7 linked regions of the Canis lupus familiaris genome follow. The protein of the gene in region 5 purifies or fractionates together with the protein of the main gene of each other region. This does not show direct contact. Links are inferred from orthologs where the notes say so. Each region holds a gene or a part of one and is shown on either strand. Other genes may lie near its edges.

What was found.
Region 1: the proteins of ARMC8 (region 5) and RMND5A purify together in Homo sapiens (affinity purification with mass spectrometry; 5 studies listed by BioGRID and IntAct, counting the BioPlex papers as one, with this or other methods). This does not show direct contact. The link is inferred for Canis lupus familiaris from reciprocal best matches to the Homo sapiens genes ARMC8 and RMND5A.
Region 2: the proteins of ARMC8 (region 5) and RMND5B purify together in Homo sapiens (affinity purification with mass spectrometry; 4 studies listed by BioGRID and IntAct, with this or other methods). This does not show direct contact. The link is inferred for Canis lupus familiaris from reciprocal best matches to the Homo sapiens genes ARMC8 and RMND5B.
Region 3: the proteins of ARMC8 (region 5) and HTRA2 purify together in Homo sapiens (affinity purification with mass spectrometry; 5 studies listed by BioGRID and IntAct, with this or other methods). This does not show direct contact. The link is inferred for Canis lupus familiaris from reciprocal best matches to the Homo sapiens genes ARMC8 and HTRA2.
Region 4: the proteins of ARMC8 (region 5) and ZMYND19 purify together in Homo sapiens (affinity purification with mass spectrometry; 4 studies listed by BioGRID and IntAct, with this or other methods). This does not show direct contact. The link is inferred for Canis lupus familiaris from reciprocal best matches to the Homo sapiens genes ARMC8 and ZMYND19.
Region 6: the proteins of ARMC8 (region 5) and MRPL18 purify together in Homo sapiens (affinity purification with mass spectrometry; 3 studies listed by BioGRID and IntAct, with this or other methods). This does not show direct contact. The link is inferred for Canis lupus familiaris from reciprocal best matches to the Homo sapiens genes ARMC8 and MRPL18.
Region 7: the proteins of ARMC8 (region 5) and RANBP10 purify together in Homo sapiens (affinity purification with mass spectrometry; 5 studies listed by BioGRID and IntAct, with this or other methods). This does not show direct contact. The link is inferred for Canis lupus familiaris from reciprocal best matches to the Homo sapiens genes ARMC8 and RANBP10.

What each region holds. Positions count from the first base shown.
Region 1 is NC_049238.1:38,714,441-38,717,940, forward strand, and holds part of RMND5A (E3 ubiquitin-protein transferase RMND5A), read right to left. Parts: coding exon 3,453-3,500; intron 1,485-3,452; coding exon 1,384-1,484; intron 1-1,383.
Region 2 is NC_049232.1:3,659,357-3,662,426, forward strand, and holds the end of RMND5B (E3 ubiquitin-protein transferase RMND5B), read right to left. Parts: intron 2,803-3,070; coding exon 2,637-2,802; intron 1,452-2,636; coding exon 1,349-1,451; intron 1,257-1,348; coding exon 1,102-1,256; intron 1,016-1,101; coding exon 952-1,015; 3' UTR 501-951; downstream 1-500. UniProt on the Homo sapiens protein: Core component of the CTLH E3 ubiquitin-protein ligase complex that selectively accepts ubiquitin from UBE2H and mediates ubiquitination and subsequent proteasomal degradation of the transcription factor HBP1.
Region 3 is NC_049238.1:49,111,623-49,115,899, reverse strand, and holds the start of HTRA2 (serine protease HTRA2, mitochondrial), read left to right. Parts: upstream 1-1,477; 5' UTR 1,478-1,480; coding exon 1,481-1,986; intron 1,987-2,089; coding exon 2,090-2,294; intron 2,295-2,382; coding exon 2,383-2,577; intron 2,578-2,818; coding exon 2,819-2,851; intron 2,852-3,089; coding exon 3,090-3,195; intron 3,196-3,342; coding exon 3,343-3,412; intron 3,413-4,097; coding exon 4,098-4,193; intron 4,194-4,277.
Region 4 is NC_049230.1:48,177,324-48,181,616, reverse strand, and holds the start of ZMYND19 (zinc finger MYND domain-containing protein 19), read right to left. Parts: upstream 2,801-4,293; 5' UTR 2,753-2,800; coding exon 2,702-2,752; intron 1,623-2,701; coding exon 1,563-1,622; intron 589-1,562; coding exon 482-588; intron 1-481. UniProt on the Homo sapiens protein: May be involved as a regulatory molecule in GPR24/MCH-R1 signaling.
Region 5 is NC_049244.1:34,998,916-35,002,415, reverse strand, and holds part of ARMC8 (armadillo repeat-containing protein 8), read right to left. Parts: intron 2,972-3,500; coding exon 2,896-2,971; intron 2,803-2,895; coding exon 2,712-2,802; intron 1,086-2,711; coding exon 1,025-1,085; intron 1-1,024. UniProt on the Homo sapiens protein: Component of the CTLH E3 ubiquitin-protein ligase complex that selectively accepts ubiquitin from UBE2H and mediates ubiquitination and subsequent proteasomal degradation of the transcription factor HBP1.
Region 6 is NC_049222.1:49,590,863-49,594,956, forward strand, and holds the start of MRPL18 (39S ribosomal protein L18, mitochondrial), read left to right. Parts: upstream 1-1,294; 5' UTR 1,295-1,412; coding exon 1,413-1,506; intron 1,507-1,748; coding exon 1,749-1,935; intron 1,936-4,094. Other genes in the region: TCP1 (T-complex protein 1 subunit alpha), read right to left, coding at 247-310. UniProt on the Homo sapiens protein: Together with thiosulfate sulfurtransferase (TST), acts as a mitochondrial import factor for the cytosolic 5S rRNA.
Region 7 is NC_049226.1:82,245,889-82,250,110, reverse strand, and holds the start of RANBP10 (ran-binding protein 10), read right to left. Parts: upstream 2,801-4,222; 5' UTR 2,539-2,800; coding exon of another isoform or gene 2,399-2,538; 5' UTR 2,331-2,398; coding exon 2,096-2,330; intron 1,312-2,095; coding exon 1,200-1,311; intron 1-1,199. Other genes in the region: TSNAXIP1 (translin-associated factor X-interacting protein 1), read left to right, coding at 2,399-2,538. UniProt on the Homo sapiens protein: May act as an adapter protein to couple membrane receptors to intracellular signaling pathways.

The sequences.
Region 1 (3,500 bases), on a different chromosome or scaffold from region 5:
GGTACTTAACCAAAAGCAGACACATAACTGACTAAGCCACCCAGGCACCTCTGACGTTTATTTTTAAAGATACAGTACCTACCTGCCTCATATTTATAATTTATAGTGGAATTTGTCATTTACAAACTTACACAGAAATCTATCTCTACATGATCATCTGAGCTGGTCTTAGAACTATGCAAATTTTAAAAGAACTGATAAATGATCAGAAATAGAAAACTAAGCTATGAAGAATTAAGTGTGTTAATGGAAGAAAAAAAATGTGCATTTCATAAAAATCAACAAGAATCTTCCCAATTTTTTTTTTCTGAAAACAATGATCTCAAATACTTCCAATTTTTAAATACCAGAATTCTATGCCTAGAACCTCAGCAGTTTCTTCTCTTTATTTTATAGCCCTCCTTCATTTCCTTCTTTCCAACAACCTGGTAATCCTCACATTAAAGAATTCTAGGACAGAGATGCCTGAATGGCTCAGTGGTTTAGCATCTGCCTTTGGCTCAGGGCATGATCCTGGGGTCCAGGGATGGAGTCTTGCACCGGGCTCTCTGCAGGGAGCCTGCTTTTCCCTCTGCCTATGTCTCTGCCTCTCTGTATCTCTCATGAAAAAAAAAAAAAATTCTAGGACAGGGGTTGGCAAATTATGGCCAAGGTCCAAATATGGCTTGTTGTCCATTTTGTACACCAGATGGCCAAGATTTTTTTTTTTTTACACATTTTTAAACAGTTGGGAATAAATCAAAGAATATGTGACAGAGATCTCATGTGGCTCGCAAAACCTAAAATATTTACTCTCTGGCCCTTTACAAAAAACTTTGCTGATCCTGCTCGAGGGTATTATTTATCACAGCTTACTCAGTAATTTAAGACAGTTCATATCAATGACCAGTTCAAAATGAATCATTACATGTTACAGTGATAATTAGCACAGAACTCCTTTGTAACAGTATTTTTGGTCTTTATGCATACCACTTAGTTCCAATAACCAATTAAGTTGTTTTTTAGAATGCTAGCACAGAATCCCACACATTATGGAAGTTCAAATATCAAACTCAGACCATCTAAACAATAGTACTTCAGTTACAATGCTAGTCTATAGTAGTGGAATGGCTTGGATACAGGAAACCCTTTTTCTATCTTGGGAATTCAGATCAACTGATAAGCAAAGAAAGCTCGGACCATTTTCTCCTATTTGCACATCCCCCATTCTTACTTAATTAAAAGGAAGAAAATAATTTTTCCTTGCTTTCTCTGAAGTCCATCCTAGGTGAGATGTATAGATGTACGGATATATATCAAAATCTCAATGTGTTTTTTTAATTAAGTTTTCTTACAGAGAGTTTCTCCCCAAGTATTTGGAAGAAAACAAACACAGAAACTTACTCCAGAGCAGGTCTCAGAACTCTGACTTTTAATGCTTCTAATATTCGATTTAACTCCACAAATGGTTCTTTCTGACTTGGGTCTACAGAAAGACCAGATTCCTGAAAAAATAGAAAGTACTTCTGTTAGCAGTAATCAGGTTAAAAGATATAATAAGGGATCCCTGGGTGGCGCAGCGGTTTGGCGCCTGCCTTTGGCCCAGGGCGCGATCCTGGAGACCCGGGATCGAATCCCACATCGGGCTCCCGGTGCATGGAGCCTGCTTCTCCCTCTGACTGTGTCTCTGCCTCTCTCTCTCTCTGTGACTATCATAAATAAATAAAAATTAAAAAAAAAAAGATATAATAAAAACATATTCTAAATTATAAAATATGGCGCAAGCCATTAAAAATAATTTTTTTACCATATATTTCTATGGTACAGACTGAAGACTGAGCCCTACTATCATTCTTTCCAGTAGTAGTAGAACCCTTATGTATTCCATACAGAGTACATCAATGTATGGAATAAAGCTTCGTATGACTTTGCAGAGATGTAAGTTCTGGTCAGTAAAACATAAACATGTACTCTTTATCCCTTCCTGGCATATCAAAAGTTGTAACAGCAGAGCTACAAGGAGGGTAGGTCCCTAAAAGCTCATGGAGCACAGCTACAATATATGCTGTGGATGGCTTACTACCTCCTATTTCTGTGCAAGAGAAATAAACTTCATTTTTTTAAGCCACTGGTATTTTATGTCTTTGTACTTATAAATCAGCTTAATCCTAAACAATATAGGATTTAATAGACATAAACAAAATTCCCATACAGAGAAAGACCTGTGTTATTGTTTTTCTGAATTATTTAAAATAGAAGTGGTGCCTGGGTAGCTCAGTCGGTAGAGCATGCAACTCTTGATCCTGGGGTTGTGAGTTCAAGTCCCACACTGGGTATAGAGATTACTTAAAAATAAAATCTTTAAAAAAAATAATAAAATAGGTTTAGATTAGAGGTTTTGTTTACAGTCTGGCTTTAAACTATTTCATCGGGATCCCTGGGTGGCGCAGAGGTTTAGCGCCTGCCTTTGGCCCAGGGCGCGATCCTGGAGACCCGGGATCGAATCCCACGTCAGGCTCCCGGTGCATGGAGCCTGCTTCTCCCTCTGCCTGTGTCTCTGCCTCTCTCTCTCTCACTGTGTGCCTATCATAAAAAAAAAAAAAAAAAAAAAAAAAAAAAAAAAAAAAAAAAAAAAAAAAAAAAAACTATTTCATCTTTATAATCCTTCATTTTTCTAAACAGAAAATACAATAGCACATGGTGGCTTAGACTAAGTTTGAGGACATGAATTTGGGACTGAATCCTAGTTCCTTTGCTAAGGAACCTGCATGGCCTCGGGCAAGCCACTTCTCCAGACCTCAGATTCCTTATCTGTAGAATGGAAGCAATTTTTACCTCACAGGATTGCAGTGAAGAATAATGGCAGGAGTTGGCTTGTGGACTCAATACATGGTAGCTGCCACCATTCTGACTAGGTGATACTGGTGAACTATTCTGAGATCCCTAAGCTCATGTCTACTAGCAATAAAAGACAAAAGCTGCTCATCTGAAGTAAATTTTAGCTTTAAACTCATTTGATAAACAAAATGCTACAAGTTGGGCCAGATTCTTCTTTTCTGCTATCCTACCTTCCCTATTAAAAGAGGAAATGGGGAAGGTCATATCACTTTTGACCTCTTGATGACCTGGGACCAATGTGATGGGGCAGGAATAAGGAAAAAGCAACTCAAATAAGAAGTTCTAGGATCGTAGTCTTTACTAATTAGAAAAGAAAAGAAAAGAAAAGAAAAGAAAAGAAAAGAAAGAAAAGAAAAGAAAAGAAAAAAAGAAAAGAAAAGAAAAGAAAAGAAAAGAAAAGAAAAGAAAAGAAAAGAAAAGAAGAAAAAGACTTCCTAGTAAAATGAGGTTAGTCCTGAAACTTAAAATATTAAAAATCTATCTATGGCTAGAAGAAGATTCAAAAACTCCAAGGAGTCCCCTCGTTTATTTCATCCTCTCACACACTGGCACACTGGTAGCAGACATACTGTTACCTGGCAGAGCTCTTCAGCTACGTCCAGCATTCCTTGTCGGAAGAAGTG
Region 2 (3,070 bases), on a different chromosome or scaffold from region 5:
CTGGGGAACTCCTGGAAGCAATTTTAGCCATGCACACAGCAAATCAGAAGTAGGTATATGAAGCTAGAGACAGACCCCAGGCCAGCTCTCCTGCTGAGCAGAATGACCCTGGTAACCCAGTCCCTTTAAGCACTCCAGACTTCAGGTGCCTCCCTGCTCCCCAGGGCTCAGCACAGGGCTCAGCTGGCACAAGCAGCAAGCAACCAAGCTCCAGGCACCCTGCAGTAAACCACAAAGAGCTTGAGATTGAGGGTCAGATCCAGTTCAAATTCCTTCACAAGCTGTGAGCCCCATAGGGCAAGTCTGTTCATCTTCCTAAGTCCCCTGGCACTGCCTCCTAGAAGGGAGGGGGCAAGATTTGATACGTGTTTGTGTAAGAACCTCTTGCTCAGGGCGTGACATCCCCGGGCCTCTGCCCAGTCTGAGATGCAAGTGGGGTTCTCCCTGGGTGTGGGGGCCCTGCAGTAGTTCCTTGTCAGTGAGGCTAAAGGAAGGTGAAATACAGAGAAGGCCTGTGAATATATTTGCTCAGTTATAAAACAGTGGCATTCAGTTGGAACCCGGACTATTTACAGCGGGGAACAGATACATACAGTTGTGAAGCTGTACAATAGAAGGGGTGTTAACCATAAGCCACCTGGCTAGCCATGTGACTGAAAGGACGTCTGCGTTGTTGGCCCAGTCCTCTGCTTCTTGTCGGTCGCAACCAAGTCACTGGCAGGTATAAACAGGAAACACCAGGAGTGCAGAGGCCCATGTCTCCCACCCTTCCAGCCAAGGAGCCAGCTGCCCATCACAGACTGGTTTGTCTCCTTTCTTGGCCTCTACCCATGGTGGCACTCAGTCATTTGCTCTGAAGCAAACCACAATCTGAAGTCAGCCACGCCCACCAAGACAGACCACAGCTCATAGGTGGGAAACCCCTCTGACAAAGTTCATCCCGAGCAGGTATCAGAATATGATGCGTTTCCCATCTGCTGGGTTCTGCTCCATGGGACAGTAGGGACACTTCAGCCTGCAAAGGGAGGAGAACAAAAAATGTCTCAGGGGCCAGCCAGCTGGAGAGCCCAGTCAAGAGGGAGCAGAGCATGGGGAACTTACTTTCCTCCATTAATGAGCTTGTTGAGTGCATCCCGCGAGATAACGTGGCCACATATGAGCTTGATGGGAGGGTTGGAATCTGACGTCTGCTGCCTGAGGATGGGGCATGCGAACACTGAGTGGTACCAGCACTTCATGCCGAGTTCGATCTCAATCTGAGGAAGCCAGCAAAGGGGTGAGTCCCTGCAGGGGCAGCAGCTATCCTTCCCAGGGTCTTCTGCCCACACCTCCCCCTGCTGGGCCTCACCGGTAACTCGTCCTTGTGACTCCAGACCCCCGTGCACTGCCTCTGCTCAATCACAGCTTTGATGTTCATCAGCACAGGCAGCGCCACACAGCCAGAGGCAAAGCTGCAGAACAAAGAGCAGCAGCTGCAGTGCCCCTGACCAAGGACCCAGCAGACACGCCCAAGGCACCAGCACCCAGTCGTGGGCCTGTGTCTTAGGACAGGGCTCTGAGGTGGCACATGGTCAGACTGCTCCTTGAAAATCTCTCTGGTCACTCATAAAGTGCCACATGTGTAGTTAGGTGTGTCTAAGTCTAGAGTCACTAATGCACCCCAGAGTTTGAGGACCTATGGGAAAGATAAAAGGAAGATCTAGGGGAGAGCTATCTGCTCCTCCAAACCACTGGAATGTCGCTGGTATGATGGGGACAGTGATCAGCTTGAAAGGGCCCCAGCCTGCCTGTCTGCCCCACTCTGCCGTCATAAGGCACCTCTACAACTGCTTATCTTCCATCAGGGCACTTAGACACGGGGGCAGATTCAAATCTCACAATGACTCAGGCAGGGGCGGGGAGTCGACTGGCTGGTGCCTCAGGTGCTAAATAAATACCTATGATGCTTGGGGAAATTGGGCACCCAGGAACCATCATGGGTTGTCCCTGGTGTTCCTGCTGGGAAACACTGTTTTTTAACCAAAATCCGCCCCCCCCAAGGGGTTGGGCAGGAGAGTCCACAGTCAGTCTAAATAAAAGGCACTGTGACACTGCTGCATGGGATTCTGGGACCAGGTCTTTGTAGCCTTTCTTCCCTGTGGGGCTCTGGGCAAGTTCACTCATGCCTTGAGTCTGTTTTGTCCTCGGTAAAATGAGGATAACTACCTGTAATTCCTAGGACCTGGTGAAATCATGAGAACATTAAAGGAGTCCAAGGGAAAGGTCCTGATATGTGTTATTCAGGCACTTTCAAATCTCCCCAAAGGGAAGATGTTTGAGAGAGAAGGTTGAAAAAAGGCAGCCAGGCTGCAGAGGGTGTTGGGATAATTCAGGGGTGAGGTGCAGGCAAGAAGGAGACCTCATTTAAAAGACCTGACAAAAGGTCACCGCTGACCTTGCAGTGACATCAGGCCATGACTCTTCCTAACCTCAGTTTCTCCAACTGTAAAATCAGGTAACTCCTACCAGGGAGAATGACTAAGAGAGCCCATATAGGTCTGAAAGCACCAAATGCCATCCCTGGCACAAGAAAGGACCTTGGCAAACTTTCCCTCAAAGCCTTCCCACTCGTGCCGCCCCCACAGGACTGCCGGTACCTGACGCTGAGGGGGGACTCTACAGAAAGCCCCAGCAGGGAGCAAGCGTCCCGGGTGAAGGTCTCACAGATCTCTGCCCAATGGCTATTGTCCAGGAGATGGCAGTAGGGTGACTTCTCCAAGCCCAGCCGCAGGTACACCAGACTGCCCATCATCACCTGGATCTCTACAAGGCAATCGGGTACAGGTCAGGGTGAGGGGGGGTGCTCAGAGGCAGGGTGGGGAGCAGGCTGAGGCTCGCAGCTCCCAGGTCCCCACCACCACCAGATGACTGGGCGCTGAGTTGCCCTCAGGCAAACCCGGTTTTCCCTCAAGTCCAGTGTAGAGGCCGAGTCTCGGGGCTGCTTCTGTGGGACAAGGCCACAGGGCAATCAGGTAGAGGAGAGTTTGAATTCTCTTCTCATCCTTCCATGTGCCCTAGGGAAGAGTCTCAG
Region 3 (4,277 bases), on a different chromosome or scaffold from region 5:
GATGGGATTCTAGCCAGCCTGTCAGCACCTGACTCAGAACAGAAAACTGTTAAACTGCACGAGTAGGTAAATAAAGAATAAAGAGATATAAGGGGAAAGAACTAAGAGCAAACAGAAAAGATATCAACTAGGACGGAGAAGGTAGGGCTGAAAATTGTGAAAAATCAAGGGCCCCCAAGCCTGACCACCTACCCAGCTGGAGACCGATACCTGTGCTCACCCACCTGAAGCGCAGGAGCCCCTCCCGGCCATTGGTGGCCTCTTCCTCAGGGAATAGCAGCAGAGGGGTGGGGGGAAGCCTCGTGGAAGCACAGAATCTCTTGAGTGACTCCACCAACTCCCCCCGCCCATCCATCTCCATGAAGCCCCGAGACCAGCACACAAAACTTGGGGGACTATTGAGTAGAGGCTGGGAATAGAGAAGAGAGAAAGCAAGAAAAGAATATTGGGAAGTGAGAAAAACTGACATCTAGGGTACAGAAGCGGGATTGGGGGTAAGCCTCAGTATTTCCCAGTGGTCCCCAAGGGAAACCCGGGCGGGCTAAGGGGAGCCTCCAGCTGGGCCCCAGGGAACCGCCCCGTAGAGCTCTCGGCTTTGCCCCCCACTCACGGTGCTACAGCTGGTGAGCAAGTTGACTATGTTATGGTCGAAAGGTGTCACGTGGTTGGAAATGAGGACCCTGACGCGGTGATCCCGGAGTCCGGAGTTCTCCTGCCGGGCCACGAGCCCCAGCACCGCACACATGGTCCGCACCACGAACCTGGGGACGCGGGCAGTGGTGACTCCACGGCCTCCGGCCGGGCCCAGCCCAGCCCTCCCCGGGACCCCCAGGCCGTTACCTGCGAAGGACACTGTCCGGTAGAGCGCAGCTGACCAGGAAGACGTGGATCCCAAGAAAGAGGCGCAGGACAAGGAGGCAGAACCCGACGGGAGCATAGAGCAGCAGCGCGAGGAGCAGGAAGCCGTCACCCGGGAGCCTGGGGGCGAAAGGCGGGGTGATCGGGCGCCGGAGGCCGAGTGCACGCGGGAGCCGGCCTCTTCCCGCCAGGGCTCTTACCGGTGAGAGTCGAAGAGCCGCTCCGGCCCCAGCGCCGGGGAAGGATCCATCGCGGGGGCTTTAGAGCTCTCCGGCCGCCGCCGCCATCTTCGCGCCCGGCCGCAGGGGCTCCTGGGAAGGCGGAGTCTTCGGGCATCCGCCCAGGGTGCGGGCACCCGAAATCTTGAGGCGCCCCGGAAGGGCTAGCGGTCCCAGCATGCCTCGCGGCCCTTGGGCCACCTAGGAACTCGCGTCCCGCGGGGACCACAATTCCCGGCATTCCTGGGGCGGGGGCGGAGTCGGCCTCCCGGAATCCTGGGTCCCGGCGTGCACTTCTGGAGGACTTCAGGTCCCGGCGTGCCCCGCGTCCCTCCGTCCGCCACCTCGCGTCCAGGGCGCCGCCTCTGTGTAGGGCGGGCGAGGAGGCAGTCGAGGCGGAGCTGATGGCTGCACTGAGGGCGGGGCGGGGTGCAGCCTGGAACCTCCGGGGATGGCGGGCTTTGGGGGGGGTTCACTCGGGGAAGGGACCCCTGCTGACCCCTGACCTCCGGGCCTTGCTGACGTCAGGAATTCCTGACCCCCGGGCCCGAGTGACTTATGGGACCCCCAGCCTCCGGGCCCGGTGGTCTGTGGGGGTCCCTGAACCACGGACGTGTCTGACGTCGAGGACTTCGGATTCCCGAGCATGGCTGGCTGTAGGGACCCCAGATCCCAGGACCCAGGAGGGCTCAGGGACCCCTGGAACCCGTCCGCGTATATGGCTGGCGGTGGCGCTGGGCGCTGGGGGGGCAGTGCTGTTGTTACTGTGGGGCGGGGGTCGGGGTCCCCCAGCGGTCCTCGCCTCGGTCCTTGGCTCGCCGCCCAGCTCTCCCCGGAGCCAGTACAACTTCATCGCAGACGTGGTGGAGAAGACAGCACCTGCCGTGGTTTATATCGAGATCTTGGGCCGGTAACGGTGGGGAAGGCAGGAGGCACCAAGCCGCGGGCTAGAGGGCGGAGGAGCCGGGGTGTGAGCCTCCCTGCATCCTTGCTTCTCACCCCCACCCCTCCAGGCACCCTTTCTCCGGCCGCGAAGTCCCTATCTCGAATGGCTCAGGATTCGTGGTGGCTGCCGACGGGCTCATCGTAACCAACGCTCATGTGGTGGCAGATCGGCGCCGGGTCCGTGTGAGGCTGCTCAGCGGCGACACATATGAGGCCGTGGTCACAGCTGTGGATCCTGTGGCAGACATTGCGACGCTAAGGATTCAGACTAAGGTGGGGGCTGAGCAGGCTGGGTCTGGTTGGGGCTGTGAATTTGCTCACATCTTCAGATGACAGGTCTCTTATACCCATTCTCTCTCAGGAGCCTCTCCCCACACTACCCCTGGGACGCTCAGCTGATGTCCGGCAAGGGGAGTTTGTTGTTGCCATGGGAAGTCCCTTTGCACTGCAGAACACGATCACTTCTGGCATTGTCAGCTCTGCTCAGCGTCCAGCCAGAGACCTGGGCCTCCCCCAAACCAATGTGGAATACATCCAGACTGATGCAGCTATTGATGTGCGTTCTGATATAAGAGAAATGACAAACTAGGTTGGGGGTTGGGGGAAAGGCTGTGTGGTACAGGCACCAACTGTTGATAGATGGCGGATGAGCCTGTATACAGAGGTTGGGCTGCAAATATGTGGCCACTCAGGTTGGGCTGGGAAAGGAGAGAATTTGGAAAAAGTGCCTACATCCTGGTCATGCCTCCAGGCATAGAGTTCCTGGATCTCTTCCATATTTTCTCCTTGTCCTGCAGTTTGGAAACTCTGGAGGTCCACTGGTTAACCTGGTGAGTGGGACATCCTTCTTTCCAAGAATCCCTGCCCCAGGTCAGTGTGAGAATGGGTGTGCTTCCTCTAATTCAACGATGTTTGGTCAAGTTTCTAAGCAGCCTCCTGTTGGCTATCTCCCAAAATCCAACCAGGTCTCCCCAGCCTGCTCCCTCATTCTCCCTGCTACTCTTGTTCAGGTATCCCCTCCTCCTACTATGTTTCTGGGCTAGGGATTAGTGGGCTCTGTTCCTGCAGGATGGGGAGGTGATTGGAGTGAATACCATGAAGGTCACAGCTGGAATCTCCTTTGCCATCCCTTCTGATCGCCTTCGAGAGTTTCTGCATCGTGGGGAAAAGAAGAGTGAGCCTGGCTTAGGGGGGAAGAAATTACTTTGAGTGGTGGGAAGGGCATTCATTGTGCTTTACTGGAGAGGGGTTGTCTACTGGGAGGAAAGGGAGGGGAAGGAAGGATGTAACTGGGTGGGGCTCATTTGTCCCTCTATCACAGATTCCTGGTTTGGAATCAGTGGGTCCCAGCGCCGCTACATTGGAGTGATGATGCTGACCCTGACTCCCAGGTACGAGCTTTGGGGGTAGTGACCTGTAGGACCACCAGTATATTCAGTGGTGGGCAAGTGGCACTTCTGTTGGGCTTTGTTCTCAGTTTTATCTTTATCTAAGATAAGTTGCCCCACACTAGGAGCTATCAGAAGAGCTATTCTCATGATCTTGACTTTCTCACTCCAATCCCTCTTGTACACCTGCTACCAGATTGATTTCATCCTGTTACTGCTTTGGTTTAAAAACTTCAATCCATTAGCCCGGTGCTTAGAGGCCATTTTCCATTTGTCTCCAATTTAACCTTTTAGATCTGGCTTCTTACAAGAATATATTCTGTTCCAGCTGACCTGGATTTCCTACTCCTATGGTTTTATTTATATTGCTCTTGTTTTATATAGTTAAATACCAGAACCATTTTATGCTCAGCTTATGTTCTACTCTCTCAAAGTTTCTCTTAGAATTCTAGAATGACATTAGTGCTATTGATTTAATATGATGTATCACTTGGAATGAGTTACCTTTTATACACATGTCCCACTTCCTAACTTTGAAAAGGCAGAAAGTGAATTGCCTTTGTATCCGGAGTATCTAGTGCATGCCCTTGTCCATGCAGTTGTCGGTGTGTTGATGAGAGATTTGAGGTGAACCCAAGATGGGGAGAGTGCCTTGGTGCTGTTAACAGAGTGATCTGTGTCCTTTTAGCATCCTTGCTGAACTACAGCTTCGAGAACCAAGCTTTCCTGATGTTCAGCATGGTGTACTCATCCATAAGGTCATCCTGGACTCCCCTGCACATCGGTGAGGAAGAGACTGCATTGTGAGGTGGGGATGGGTGACGTATGCATGTGCCCTTGAACCGGGCTGTCTATCCCCTCCTTTCTC
Region 4 (4,293 bases), on a different chromosome or scaffold from region 5:
ATGTCAGTCAGTCTGTGGTCAAACAAGATGGACCATGCTAACAGTTCAGCCCCTTGATTTGAGAGCTGGGCTGCAAAAAGCCAAGGATGGAGCCCCCAACCATCAAACACACAGCCTAGAGAACACCCCATCTGAGCAGTTCCAAGCAGCAGTTCCACCGTGGACGCCACGAGGAGGCAGGCCATTCCTCACATCCCACCAACAGGCTCAGCAAGAACACAGTGGACGGAGCAGAGTCCTCCCTACCCCAGAGAGAGAGCCATGCCCGGTACAAGTGCCTGAGCAGAAAGTGCACTTTTAGACTGCTCCATTAGTGGTACGCTATACAAATGAGCCATTCCTCTGGGTTAGCGGCAATGATTCAAAGGTAACAAGAGGGGTGGTGGGGGGAGCATGACTCCGATAACACATCCTCTGTCAACAGGGACAGGTTGCTGCATGCAGTACCCAAATGAGGAACAAGCAGCTCATAAACACCTACCACAGCAGCTCGTGAAGGAGCCTTCCTGACCCTCTTCCTCGGTTTTTGTCAAAGGCATATGCGAATATCTTAGCACCATTTCCATCTGCATCTACTTCCATCCGGGCCTGAGAGAGAAATGGTCTGTTAAAAAGCCTTCAGGTCTCAGCTACATTTTCAAACTTTATTAAAGAAGTGAAGTGAAACAAACAAGTTAGAGCAAATATATGAGGCCTCTTTCTGGGACCCCGGGCTTTGCAGAGGCTCCCAGACATGAGAAGCCAGCCCTGTATCCCAACATACTCCACAAACCACTCTGCAAAACACTGTAGACATAAAGAGACAAGTTTTCCTACTCTTAGAAAATGCCCACAATTCAGTGAGAAAAACAAACCCTTGAACAAGTAACTAATAGCTAAGCCCTGAACACGTAGGGTAAGGTACAGAGCCCCCACACAGGTGAAAATCCGCATAGGACTTTTAACTTCCGGAGACTTCACTGATAGCTTGCTCTGGACCAGAAACCTTACTGAGGCAAACAAGTGATTAACACAAACTTTGTATGTGAGACATATCGTATGCTATATTCTTAAAGAAAACGTTTTCAAAGAAGTCATGATGAAATATATTTACAGTAATAGACTATGTTTATCAAAACCCCCCCCACATCTAAGTTAACCTGTGCAGTTCAAACTCTTGTTCAAGGGCCACCCTTTCTGTAAAAACACGAAGGGCTGAGATAAAGCATAGTGGGTCCACAGAGCCCTCAAGGATTTCTGAAGTGGAGGAGCCGGTAGGTGAGGATGGGCAGGTGAACAGAAGCTCATCCCACAGAGAAGAGTGGAAGGCAAGGGAGCTCAGGAAGATGGGGGATGGAGGAACGCTGGGCCAAGGCCAGAAGAAACATGAGGTGGCACTTGGACAGTCCCCTAGGGAGCCAGGGCTTATCCAACTGAACATCATCACAAACACGACACAATGTGATCTACTTGCACCAGGGTGAAAGTGGGAGAGAACCAACAACACAGGGTAAAACCCATTCCTCCTGACCCTCCTCAAGCATTGGCTGAAAGCAGGCCCACAGAGAAACAGCCATCCTTACCTCAAAGGAGTAGCCCTCCACCAGCGGGATATCTTGCTCATCTATCAGTGTGTACTTCGTCTGGAAATTAACCACGTTTCGCAATGTTACATTCAGGGTCACAGTAAAGTTTTAGTAACAGAAACCGCCCCTTCAGGTTAAATGAGGCTAGCAGGTGAGGGGCACCAAGTACCCTACCCCCAAGGCAGGTGGTCATTTCCCACTCCAGACTGTCCCAGAGGAGTAGGAATCAGGCTTCACTTCCCATCCATACGCGCCTAAGCCCTAAGTGCCCCTGGACTGGCTAACCTCTAAGCTGTGTTTCAGGTGCTGCTGACCCTCATTTGAGACTGGGGCTTCCTCGGAACAGAGGAGGGGCCCTGGAGTGAGACAAGGCATACAGAAGGCCTCGAAAACATTTATTTATTAGGATGGGTGGCAGTACACAGGTGCTCACTGAACTGTTTAGCTTTCTTCTGAAATGTTCCAAATAAGTTTTAAAGGATGATCTGAATGCAACCAGTCACTGAATAAGAAAAGGTCTCAGAGCCGATGGGGAGCCCACCCTTCCCCAGGTAAAAAGCCACATTCCTCTTGCAGGAAAGGCAGGAAACGGCCCCCCAAACGGACTAGTCTCATTCTTGCTCGGGGAGCCTCCTTCTAAGATCTAAGTCGGTTTTACCTTCATCTGACTGCCTCTGCTCCTGTCTCCCACCAGGAGCTGCCGCCGCTGGGGATGGGAACAGGGTTCCCATCCAGGGTAAGGTCCGTGGCTGGAGCAGCTGCACGGCCGGCCGGCTCCTGGAAACAGCCAAGCCTCAATGCCCACAGGTGCCAGGAAGCCCCGGCCTCGAACCCGCGGAGGGCGGGGCCAGGTAAGGGAGAGAAGCAGAGGGAGGCCCTGCTCCGGGAGGCCCATCGAGGCCCGTCCGCACTCGGCCAGCGCCGGCAGCGTGAACCCCGCGCGAGGCTCCACGACGGGCTGGCGGGCGCCGACACGCACGCACACCGTCCTGCCGCCTCGGAAGGGCGCTGTGCTGCCCGCGGGGACCCTTCGCCCGCCCGCCCGCCCGCCCGGCTCCGCAGCCCCCGACCCCACGGCCCCAGCCCAGCGTCCCGGCCCCGCGGCCCCGCGGCCCCGCGGCCCCCGCGCCGCTCACCTTCCCGGCCACCCGGCCGAGCCGCACGATACCCAATTTGAAGTCGGTCATGGCCAGGCCTGCGCTCGGCCGGCGGCGCCGCTCCCTCGGGAGGCGCCGGGCCGGGACCGGGACCGGGGCCGGGGCCGGGCCGGGGCGGCGCCGCGGCGCGCCGGGTGGGCCGGGCCGGCGGGCCGGGGTCGGGGCCAGGCGGGACGAGGCTGGGCCGGGCTCGGGCCGCCGCCGCCTCGGGCCCGCCGGACCTGCCACGCGCCACCGCCGCCGACGCCGCCACCGCCGCCGCCGCCGCCGCCGCGCGCACCACCGCGAGCGGAGCCGGAGGCGGGGTGCGACGCGGACACACCCCCGCCCGCCGCCGACCCGCCAATCGCGGGGTGCGCCCCGCGCCGGCCTGCGCGCGCCGCCGCGCCGTGGCCAATGGGAGGAGGGGAAGTACGCCGGCGCACTGAGGAGCAGTGGGAGCGCGGGGGAGGGGCGCGGCCGAGGGCGGCGCTTGCGCGGCCGCCCCGCGCTACGTCAGTTTCGCGGGAAGCTTTGTGCTGGCGGCCGCGCTGCGGCGTCTTGCTCCCCGCTGGCCGCCCTCGGCTCAGGCCGGGCGCCGGCCCCAACGCCCGGCCGCGGCCCTGCCCCTGGCCCCCGAACCCACGCGCCGCCCCCTCGCGGAGGGGCGGCCCGAAGGGTCCTGCGGAACTCGCTGCGGCTCCCGGTAAACGGCTCCGCACCCGCGGGACGGCGGGCGAGGGGCGAGGGGCGAGGGGCGCGGGCCGCCCTACTCCCTCCCTGGACACCGCCCCTGTGCCAACGGGGCCCGTCTCCCCCGCACTGCCTGCGCTCGGGCCGCCGCCGCCTTCCCCGCGGGTCGGGCCGTGAACCGGGCTGCGGTGATGGGCCCGCGGCCGCTCTGCCCTCCGCTCGCTCCTGCTGGGCGCTTAGGGCGGGAGGACCTGAAGGCTGGAGGGCGCTCGGGGCGGGAGGACACTCGGGGGCCGCCGCCCTTGTTACCTAGCAACCACCCCGCCGCCCGCACTCCCACTGAAAGTACCCGGGAGTGCAAATCAGAACGGCCCGTGATGAGTGATAAAGGCAGTGGGGGAAACCAGGAGAGCAGCATTAGGAGGCTAGGGGCCTAAGGAAGGTGGTGGGCAGGCTCTGCCCCATTGACTCATGGACTTGAACAGTGTAAGGAGTGGAGAGAGCACCATGTGGGCATCTGGGGGAAGAGCTGGCCACAGGGCCCTGGGCTGGGATGTTGGGAAAAGTGGGATTGTCCGCTGTGACCAGACAGGAGTTCAGGACAGGAACAGGGCTGAAGATTAGAGATGTGGGAGCCAAGGGTGGTGGTTAGTAGGCTCTTAGAAGAACGTTGATTTCTATACTTAGCAAAGGGAGGCGGTTGGAGAATTTGAATAGAGCAGCTTTTCCATGAGCCAGGCTGGCTGAGGGGTACAGTAGTTTAGGGGGAAGACTGGAAGCAGGAAGGCTGTGGAGCCAGTGAATACAGCAGCTAGTCAGGGGGTGATGGTGGTGTTTGGACGTGCGGGGCCAGTCTTCTGTAACAGTCCGCTTAAACCTGTTTATGCTTCAGTAACAAT
Region 5 (3,500 bases):
ATTGATTTTCTATCAGGCTAGTGCAGGCTTTATAATACAACCCTAGGCTTCCAAGAGGAAAAACCTATTATTCTTATTTTTTTTGAACAGTTACTAACATTTACTAATACCACAAATCCATGGATTGTTGAGTGTAATGCTCACAACTAGTACGTGAAGAAGATGCCATTAACCTAGTTTACCAATTAGGGAGAAGAGGAGGGGTACAGCAGTTGAGTAAATAAACCAAGGTTACTTGCATGGAATCCTTAGAACTCTACACAATGTTGCTTACTAAGGGGGGAAGGGTCCTCAGATCTCATTAAATTAATTGACTTGCTTCACCAAAGACTATTAGCAAGTATTCGTCTTAAATGTTCTTTTATCCTTGGGTTCATTTTGTACACTGATAATGAGAGATCTCAGGTTCATAAAATGATATATAGTCAATGTATTTACATTTATTTTGTTTTAGAAGAGTAAGGGATGTGCCCAAAGTTACCAAGCCAGTCAGTGGTGAAATTCAGGTCTTATAATTTTTAGGCCAGTCTCTTACCTGAGTTTCTCTATGTTCTAGTTGCTTCTGACATGTCACAATAAATATTGATGGCTTTCATGTGTTATTATCTTTTTCTTTCTCATTATGTCTTTTGATTATCTGCCATGAGGGTGATATAAAGTCTTTGTCTACAGAGCTAGTGAACTGCTTTCCTATAAAACTATGTTGCAAACTTAATGAAACTCAAGGATTAAAATATATTTTATATTTCACTTGAATTTTACATATTTTTACAACGTCTATATCTTCCTAATTTCCATAAAAATGAAAAAGGTGTGACAAGGAAAAAACTATTTCACTTTCACTCTTAAAACACATCTAAAACCAATTAATGTGTTAATAAAATATCATTTTATGCTATGCACACATACCATAGTTGTAAATGTATAAAAAGAAATAGAAAAAAAAGAAATGGGAATACCAAGATTTATATTCAACACTTACGACTTAGTGACTTTTACGTGTGTTCAGAGAGAATTAGCTCACCTTTAATACAATACAGTTGTCATCTGTCCGAATTGCTCCAGCTCTACACATGTAAGTTAAACTGGAATAAGATGGCAAAAAGTAAGTTTTTGCTTGTGTTTTAAAGCTTTAAAAGAAATATTCCTTGCCTTTAGGATTTTATGGGGCAAAAAAAGACAGCTACTCTTCATTTTGTGGGAGGTTTTTCACATTACCTTATATGAGGTTCTGCCAATTTACTACTCAAAAGCAACTAATGGATATATACAGACAATAAAGTCAGATATTTTTAAGAAATGCATACAAAATTGTTTTTTAAAAATAAAGGCTTAATGAGTGGATAAACTGAAGCCAATGTGCCAGGCACATTGGAGGCCCTTACACTTTTTTCTACACGTTTCTGTGTTAGAAAGTTTCCATAATAAAAAGGGAGAAAAAGTTAAAAATATAAAGTTAAAATATAAAATATAAAAATATAAAGTTCACAAAGTATCTAAGATTATATCAAGCTAAACTGGGATATTCTAACTCCAATAAGAGTAATATAAGTATCACAGAAGAAGCATCTAACATTTAACACTTAGAGATAGCCATAAGAAATTAATGATTCTTCAGAGTTTGCCAGCAGTGGCTTTGACAACCGGTCAATGATTTGGTTGTACTGAACTGAATAACAATTTGCCTTCACAATTATATCTGGCTTTGAACTAAGTAGCTACTGAACACTGAGCACTTTAGAAACTTAACGAATTTCCTTTTTGGATTAGATTTCTTTAGTAAGCTGGGCGGGCAGGGGGAGGGGAGCAGGGTGGTAGTACATCTAAAACACTCCATATTCTGGCTTCTACAGAAAGCTATTTTAAAAAAATCAATAAATTTTTTACTTAGATTATAGAGGACTGAATTGTTTATAGCTGTTATCACCTTAAGACTTGTTACCACATTTTTAAAAAACTGATTCCACAAGAGCATTTATCTTACTTAACAAAGTTTTTTTTTTTTTTAACAAAGGTTTTGAAGACAAAAAGCCAACTAGTATACAATATACTCATATAAAAAAATTCATTGTGCATGAGTAATTCACTGAAAATTCCCCATTCTTGCCAAAATACTAGAGAGGCACAAATTCTTAAATATTGGAACCATAAATTTAGCAAAGAACCTTACACAACAGGTGCTCAACCTATCAATGTATTCATATGACCTGAATGTTCATATGAGCTAGGACTTGTATTAATAAGAATTTATCTTATAAACGGTCATATCTCTATGAGAATTTTATGTTTTGTTTTTTCTAAACACGAGGAAGCCATATTCTCTGAAATTATGCGTTGGTTATCAGCTTCAACTAATTCTCACTCCATATTTTTGTATCTTTATATTTTCTCAATTCTTTGCATAAATTTGTTAGTTAAATCTAATTCTATATTATTTCAACTGAAACACAAAGAGAGTACATTGAGAATGTAATAAGGTAATTTTCTGTGGATAGCCTTAGCTGTTATATGAGTGCTGATGCTCTGAATGCTACTAATAGTACACTGAGTAAAAAACTCATGCCCATTTAAGAAAATGTGAGACAACCCATGACTTGCAAATTCCAAAATCCCAAAGATGAGGATTGGCAGTGAGCTGATTAGGCTGTCCAAAAATACTCTAACATATTGATAAAGCACAGTTGTTCTTCCCACATTGTCTTGACTTTTACCATTTTGCTGATGTCAGCTGCATCTCAATAGGCTTATCCCTCTGTAACATCTTCACAAAAATTTGTGGTAACAATTCTCCATCAACCAAAACTAAAAATAAAAGAAACAAGAATTAAAGAATTCTTTAAATCTACAAAGTTCATAAATTAAATCATGTAGGTGCCACTGAAAGTTCCAGCCTACCATTTACCAGGGTCATCGATACCTGGGGGTTTTCAAAAGCTAAAACTGAGAAGCATTTCAGTGCTTGCATTCGAACCTGTAACAATAAATAAACAAAAAATGCATTTATCTTGATTTTGCAAATATGAATTTTAAGGTCTCAGAATCTAAACTCTTCTGAAGAAACAATTGTTTAAATCTGCTTAAAATAGAAAGAAAGGCCTCAAGGGAACACCTGAATATCTGGAGTACAGTAAGTTAAACTTAATTATAAAATGTTAAAATTAATTTTGAAGTAAAAGAAAAGAAAAAACAGGAAGAAGCAGCAACTAAAATTTAATTATATAAATTCCTAATCAAATTTAAAAGAACAATGTACAAAATACAATGTTGGTAAGTCAAAGTGAGCTTAATAACACTTAATTACCAAGTACCTTTCAAGTGGGACATTTCTTCTCCCCAAACTACAAACAAGAGAACTGAAGACAAAAAAAGGAAAACAAGAAAAAAAGAAGGTGTACTCTTAAAGTTGTGTGAGATGGGGTTGTGGCAAAGGGAACAGAAGGAAACAAAGTTAAAATCTGAAAAGGACTAAGCTAATTTATTTTTATTATTAAACCAATTTT
Region 6 (4,094 bases), on a different chromosome or scaffold from region 5:
GATCCGCTGCCGACCACAATCGGCAGGGCTGTGCCCCCAAACGTGCGGGGCTCTCCGCAACGCCTTGCGGACGGCGAGAGGGCGCTGCCGCCCCGCCCCGCCCCGCCCCGCCCCGGGGAGCCCCGCGAGGCGCATCCCGGACCCTCCAGGACGGAAGGGGCGCGGTGGCGGCCCGAGCCGAGCGGGCTGGGGGCGGGGGCCCGCCCCGCCGTGGGCCCGCCCGGCACAGGCCTCGTTCGCGCTTACCGTTCTGGGAGCGGATCGCCTCCCCGGTGCTGCGGTCTCCGAACACGGACAAAGGCCCCTCCATCTTGGCGGCGGGGTGCACGTCGAGGTTCACGCTGACCGCGGGCAACCAGCGTCTGGATCCCAGGCCCGGCGGCGGCCACTGCAGCGCGGCGGCGGCGGCTACGGCGTGGAACGGGGCCGAGCGAGGCCGCGGGGGCTGCTGGGAACACCGCTGCCGCGGCCGGGCCGCGGGGCAGGGCGGGAAGGAAAGAAAGGGCGGGGGGAGCGAGAGTGCGAAGGAGCCGGAAGTGAGGGGGCGGGAGAAGGCGGGAGCAGCACTTTCGCCCAATTAGAGAGCGAATGAGCAGGGCGCGAAGGCAGGAGAACGGAAGTCAGGATCGCGCACTGGAGGAGGAAGGAGGTGCACGGTTGAGGCTTCTCTTCCCCTCCTGCGGGAACGGGTTGCGCGTGCGCGCTTGCACCTTCTAGTGCTTTCTAGAAAAAGTGGACGGTGGGGCGGAGCTTGCAGTTGGGGTGTGACGAGAGGGCGGGCCTCTCCCGGTTCGGCTGCACTCCTGAGCGAGTTCGGCAGGTTCCCTAAGGGTCTTCAGAGAGAACGTGGCGAGTCGGGGCTGACTTCCGAGCCCACGAGCATACGCTTGGGGGCCTGAACCTGGGTGGGACGGGCCAAGTGCTTTCTACGAGGAAAATGGCCACCACGGTTTCTGGAGAGAAACTGCATCTTGCGCTGCGCCGGTTCCTCCCGTTGCCCAGCGGGGCCGTGTGTGGATCTGACCGCGGTCGGCAGACGCTTTGCGACCGCAGGACCAAATAAGGCAACGTGAAGTTACGGGTGCCTCGCGCCTGCCGGTCCGGCGAGACGCCGCCCGCGACCTAGCGAGCTGCGCCCCGCCCCCCGCGCGGTGCTGCGAGGTGGTTGGCGGGCTCCAGCGTAGCGTGCGCCTCTGCGTGGGCAGTGATTGGAGGAGCCGAGGTGACTGATCGCTCCGTCGGCCACTCGGCGACCCGGCTCGCCAGTTCCGGGCGGAGGCGTCGGTGACCCCGGGGAACCCCGGGGAACCAGTTCTCCCTGAGTCAACATGGCTGCGGCCGGCGAGCGGCTGGGACGCCGGTGAGGGGAGGACGTGAGGCTTTTCCGAGGCGTAGCCCGCGATCCCTCAGCGATGGCGCTCCGCTCGCGGTTCTGGGAGTGCCTGTCGGTTTGCAGAAACCCCGGGAATTCCCATTTCTCTCAGACGACTCCTCGGGGGCTGCACAGTAAGTGTGCACATGCAAGTCGTGTTTTGTAGTCCACCCCGCCGAGCAGCTTACGGGCCGACAGCGCTGTGACGACAGTACTAGGACCTGTGATGACTGCGTCCCGTGACCAGACTTCCCTCCCTCCCTCCCTCCCGGGGAGCGAGGATTCGGGGAGTGGACGGGGATAGCGGTTGGGCCTTATTCCCGTTTTGTCCGTGTGTGTCAGTTTTTAAGATACGCGTGGTGGTTCCCGTTCTTAGGGTGTGGGGTCGCAGCGCTGTCAACGAGTGCCGAGCCCGCGGCGAAGCCTGAAGTGGACCCTGTGGAAAACGCAGCCGTCGCCCCAGAGTTCACCAACCGGAACCCCCGCAACCTGGAGCTCCTAGGTGTGGCCAGGAAAGAGCGGGGTTGGGGGACAACCTGGCCCTCCCGGGAGTTCTGGCACAGGTAACTGCGGCGGCCGGTTAGCCGACCGACGGAGCAGTGCACGCTGCCCTGCAAAGCGTTCCTCAGCTCAGTCCACAGGCCGGATACTTGTGGCGATTCTCTTCTCGGGAAACCGCCGTTTGGTGGTGGAGGAGGGTTCAGTGGCCGGGGGCGGGGACACAAACCAACAATAATGGAAGTAAATAAATGAATGTCAGGGAGAAAATTTAAAGAGGATGATGTGAGGTTGGGGAGCCTGGGTGCCTGCTAAGGCCCCTTCTGAAAGATAAGGTAACCTGCCGAGAAGAGCACTCCCAGCAGAAGAAACGGCTGGGGTGGGTGGGAATGGGAATCCTTTCCTAAGGACTATATAAAATCGTAACAGGAAGTTAGAGTCATAACTATGATATATTCATTCCACAAACATTAGGCCTATGGCACTTCATAGGCATTGTGCTAGATGCAGGAGATGCAAAGAAAGTAGATTTCATCCTTGTTAGCAAAAATTTTAGGTTTTGTTTTGGAAGATGGAATAGGGATAATAAAATTTTACGATTGCTGTGATGCGTTTTTACTTAGTGTTCATAGGAGGAGTCAAAGAAAGGGAGTAGGTAGGTCACTTTTGAAATAATTTGGATCTTAAGTCTAAAATTCTTTTGAAACCCAACCGTTTCAACTTAATATTTGGACCATCTAAATAGAGATGTATTTTCCCACTTTTTTAATTTCCTATCTGCTATATTCACATTATCATCAGTATGGAATTTTGGCATATTATAGTGGGAAGTGACCTCAGAGAAGATGAGTCCTGTGCCTTTGTTGGACAAAGGTTCAACAAATGGTTTAACATACAGATCAGCAAACGATGGCCAATGGGCCAAAGTTGGCTTGCAAACTAAAAATTTCTTTTTTAAAGTGTGAAAACAAATTTCAAAAAATAATATTTTGTGACGTGAAAATTATATAAAATTCAGATTTCATTATCCACAAAGAAATTTTTTTTTTAATTTTTATTTATTTATGATAGTCAGAGAGAGAGAGAGGCAGAGACACAAGCAGAGGGAGAAGCAGGCTCCATGCACCGGGAGCCCGACATGGGATTTGATCCTGGGTCCCCAGGATCGCGCCCCAGGCCAAAGGCAGGCGCTAAACCGCTGCACCACCCAGGGTTCCCCACAAAGAAAATTTTATTGTAACATACCACCACTCATTCTCACCTGGCTGTTCTAGTGTTAACTGTGGCTGAGTTGAGCAGTTGCAAGAGACCCTACGGCTTATAAAGCTTAAAGTATTTACTATCTGAGACTTTAGGGAAAAGGATTGTTGACCCTTGATTAAGAAATTGTGATTTTTCACTAGGGCTTCCAGCAAAACCAGGTGTAGAACCCACATTTCTCAATCTAGTGCTTTTTCTGCTGTTTCACACTAAGAATCCTAGTGTGATCTCTAATTTTAGTGTTTTCTTTAACGTGAGCTTAATTTTTAAACGTGTAATATAAACATATGCTATAAAATCCAAAGGGGGGATAGTTTGTGTATCCTTTTAGAGAGAATTTGTGTATACCGGTATAAACTTATAGTTTTAAATTACAAATCTTAGCACACCATGTACACTGTTATTCATCTGAATCCTCTCCGCTCCCTTCAAAATACATCTTGGAAATCCTTTATGGTGTTTAGGAACATTAATTCTGGGGCCAAAACCCTGGACTGAAGTCCTAGCTCCATTACTTACCATTAGTTGTGATCTTGTTAAAGTTTCTAAACCTTTCTGTGTCAGTTTCTGTGGCCTTAAAAAAAAAAAAAAAAGATTATGGGCAGCCCTGATGGCTCAGCGGTTTAGCACCGCCTTCAGCCCAGGGCCTGATCCTGGAGATGCAGGATTGAGTCCTGCATTGGGCTTCTTGCATGGAGCCTGCTTCTCCCTCTGTGTCTCTGCCTCTCTCTCTTTCTGTGTCTCTCATGAATAAATAAAGAAAATCTTTAAAAAAAGAGAGATTATTTTGAAACATGAGCTATCCCAGTAAACAAGACCGTGCCTGACATAGTAGGCACTCAATAAATGGTCAGCAGCATTCTTTCTGGTAACTATAGAATACCACTGCATGGATGTTTTAGTTAGCTAGCTCCATACTGATGATTACCTTAGTGATCCAAACCATGTTGCAATGAATTGCGTA
Region 7 (4,222 bases), on a different chromosome or scaffold from region 5:
AGGCACAGCTCTGACTCTATCAGTCCTCCCCCAACACAAACCCCTTGGCTGGGCGTTTTGCATGTACCACAAAAGGGACAGTCCCTAGGAGAGAGGAAGTATTCTGAATGCTCAAGAACACATATTCAGGGTTGGCACGAAGGTCACTGGTCTAGTTGGCAAACTTCCCACATCAGACCTAAGGTCTGATGAGGAAAGCCTTTCCAAGACAGCTGAAATCATGTTATTATATAAGTTAAACACCTGCTTTGTCACAATCAATAGGAAAAAGGGAAGACTAGGAGAAAAAGGAAAAAAAAGAAAAATGCGAAATCTACCCCTCTGACTTCCAGGTGTCTGCTTAGATCACCCTAAAATAGGGAGCCTCCCTAATGCTAACTTTAATGAGGACCTTCCTAAAGCTGGTCCAACTGGTGTTTGAGTCCCTGGACTGAAAAACAAGTTTATGAGCAGCAAGGTCATCTGATTCTGACCATGTGCATGTTATTTACCCTGACATGACAGGCTAGTGGCTGCCACAGCTGTGATAAATGCTGTGAAGACTCTACTATCCCTTTGAAGCCTACAGGGGCCTCTATGTGACTAAATGCCATAAAAAAGAACCCTGAATGCAACAAGAGTGTGAAAGAAGGGAAGTCACAAATGTCATATAACAGCAGGGGAAATCCCACTCTGGACCCTGAATTTTTTTTTAAATTTATTTATTTATGATAGTCACAGAGAGAGAGAGAGAGAAAGAGAGAGAGAGAGAGGCAGAGACACAGACAGAGGGAGAAGCAGGCTCCATGCACTGGGAGCCCGATGTGGGATTCGATCCCGGGTCTCCAGGATTGCGCCCTGGGCCAAAGACAGGCGCCAAACCGCTGCGCCACCCAGGGATCCATGGACCCTGAATTGTTAATGTAAACTTGTTACTTGTTTCCCTGACCTATGAGGTATCTCATTACATAATCACTGAATAGGAAGTCCCCTCCTCTACCCTCAATGAACCTACTTGCCATCAAGGGCTGCTGCTTAGACTAGGCCATGCCCACGGTCAGGTCATAGAGACAGCCCACTCACTATTCAACCCTCTGTAGCCCAGACCCATGCATCTTAGCAACTCACATCAGTCACAAGTGTCAGCCAGAAGACCTCAAACTCTGACCATAGGGAATAGCTCAGTGCCAAGGGAAAGAAGGTGGTAAGAAGGGGCTTACCCATCTCTTCCTTTGCTGACAATCTTCACCTCAAAGTAATAAATGCCACAGGCAGCAGGTATGGGGTGGGTGGCACGCACTGAGGCAGCATCTTTGTGATTTTTGCCATGACCTAATAGGAGAAAGCAAGTAAGAAATTTCAGCAGAAAGAAATGCAAATAGAAGTCCTGTTCTTTTCTACTCCATGGCAACTTCACTGCTTCATGGCCAGAGGAAGCCCTGACATTGTTGGAGGAATAACCAGATAACAACTGAGCAAACACATAAACCTCCCACCTTTGGCTCACCTCTTACTGTGAACAGCAGCCCTGCCAGAGACAATTTCTCCCATACAAACTAAGTCAGGGTGCAGGCAATGTGGATGAATGTGAGAGATTCCCAAGCGCTGCTGGCAGTCTCTCCAAAACACAGAGAGCCCACCTAGATCAGGGGAGAGGGAGGCAGCTCTGGAAGATCACCCCTCTCAACTTGAGTAAAGAACCACAAGCTCTCTCTGATATCTGGCAGGTGAGCAAGCCCATGGGCCTCTGGCTAATGGAGGGGTTGTGACCACCCCTTTCTTCAGACACTCCCCAAACTAAGCAGTGATGAAAGGCCCAGCTGGAATTGGAGCTATCCCAGGATAAGCAAGGCCCTCAGGAGGAAGGTCCAGCCTAGCACTGGGTTTGGACACCTGTTGCAGTCCTCCTGACATCGGGTGTCTCGGGGCACAGCAGTCCAGGCAGTCGACCCTCGGCCTGGTCAGCTTCAACACCTTGGACACCCCGCAGGGGCTAAGGCCTAACCCGGGGCACCCAAATCGGGGAAGGGACGTGATGGGACAGGGGCCGGGCAGCACAGCCGCCCGGCAGGTGCTCCGGTCTTCCCCCCACCCCCAGGGCCAAACTGGCCGATACCTTTGTAGTGGACGCGGAGGTTGCCCTGGGAGAGGCCGATGTAGTTGTACTTGTCCTTGGGGCTCCAGGAGCGCGGCAGCGGCGTCTCATGCTGGTTGACCGCGGGGTACAGGCGCTGAAGGCGCCGGCTCAGCTCCTGCTCCCCCGGGGACTGCAGCCCGCCCCCAGCGCCCCCGCCAGAGGAATCTCCAGCTTGCGGGCTCCCAGCTCCCGGGTCCGCCGTCGCCGCCGCCATCTTGGAGGGAGCTGCTATTGTGTCACTGGGGGCGGGGAGGAGCGAGACCAGATCTCCCCGCTCAGCCAATGGCCCGCGAGCCTACCGAGGCCGCAGGGAAACCGAGTCCAAGTCCTACACCTCTCTTTGGACTCTGCCCTGCTTCGCCACATTTCGGACTATATATCCCACAATGCAGAGCTCTCCAGAGGCGGGACAACCAGTGCTCGTAAGGAACTTTGGGAGATGTAGTACAAATTTGCTCAGTCATAAGCCTGTTCAGCGGAGACTTTGGGAAACCAAAAACTACAATTCCCGCTGGCGACGCGGCTCCGGGTCCTCAGTTCACCGCCCGCCCCCATGGCCTCTGTTTATCCCCCCGCCTCAGTTCCGATAGCCAGGGTCAAATCACTGGTAGTAACTGACTGAGGGGACCCTGTCCCCGGGTCCGAGGCCACCTTTGCTTATTGGCTTTGCTCCCAGCTTGTGGGCTCTGGCCGAGTGGGCGTGGCACAGACTCAACTCCGCCCCCGCCGCTAGGATGCTGGGGCCTGGTCGCCATAGCGACGGGCTGTACACTACCGCAGCTTCCCGGGCCGCGGGTGCTGGCTGCCCGACTGTCTGAGGGTCATGGCCTCCCCCAAGCCGCGGTGCTCCAGCTTCGCGACTACGTCGAGGTAGGCCCTGACCCGACTGAGGGCGGAGAGGAGGGTTTGAGAACTTCCAGAAAGTGAAATGCCTCTGCCCATTGGTCCAGGGCTTCAGCCCCTCAGGATCGGTGGTGCAGAAATGGAATCTGGACTGACTTAGCCCCCTGAGAACACTAGATGCTAGCAAAAGGGCTGGCGCACTTTATCATTAGTAAGAGACAGCTTGCATGTATTGAGCATATATTATGTGCCAACTACTTTATATATGGCACATTTAACCTCACAACTCTATGAGGTAGTAATATTTCCGTTTTACGAATGAATAGAAGCCTGGAGAGATCATGTGTTTTACACGTTTATAAGCGGTAGAGCTAAGGGGACTCCTGGGGAGCTCAGTGGTTGAGCGTTTGCCTTCCGCTAGGGACGTGGTCCCGGAGTCTTGGGATCAGTCCTACGTTGGGTTCCGCGCGGGGAGCCTGTTTCTCCGTCTGTCTAGCTCTCTGCCTTTCTCTGTGTTTCTCTTATGAATAAATAAATAAAATCATTTATTAAAAATGCTAACAAAAAAAAGTGGTAGAGCTAGGATTTGATCCCAGCCTCGTGAGACTCCTGAACCTGCGCTCTTAGCCACAGAGATAAACTGCCTCTTCGCCCATTAGCTTATGGCAAAGATGATTGTCGAATTGCTGTCTATTCAGGTTGCAGTCTCTGGGCACTCCAAAAGATGACAACAAGCTCTATTAGCTCGTAAAGCCACAAGTGTACATACTAAAACAAAAATTTTGGCTAAATATCTTTCCAGCTTTGGGAATTCAGAAGTCTCGGGATGCCTGGGTGGCTCAGCAGTTGGGCACCTGCCTTCGGCCCAGGTGGTGGTCCTGGGATCCAGGATCGTGTCTCACATCAGGCTCCCTGCGAGGAGCCTGCTTCTCCCTCTGCCTGTGTCTCTGCCTCTCTCTCTCTCTGTCTCTCATGAATAAATAAATAAAAGCTTAAAAAAAAAAAGAAGAAGTCTCTTAAGTTCAGGGCCTTTGCTTCTGTATCTCAAACATGGGGATGATACAACCCACTTCAAAAATATTGTTGGGAGGGATCCCTGGGTGGCGCAGCGGTTTGGCGCCTGCCTTTGGCCTGGGGCGCGATCCTGGAGACCCGGAATCGAATCCCATGTTGGGCTCCCTGCATGGAGCCTGCTTCTCCCTCTGCCTGTGTCTCTGCCTCTCTCTCTCTCTCTGTGTGACTATCATGAATAAATAAATAAAA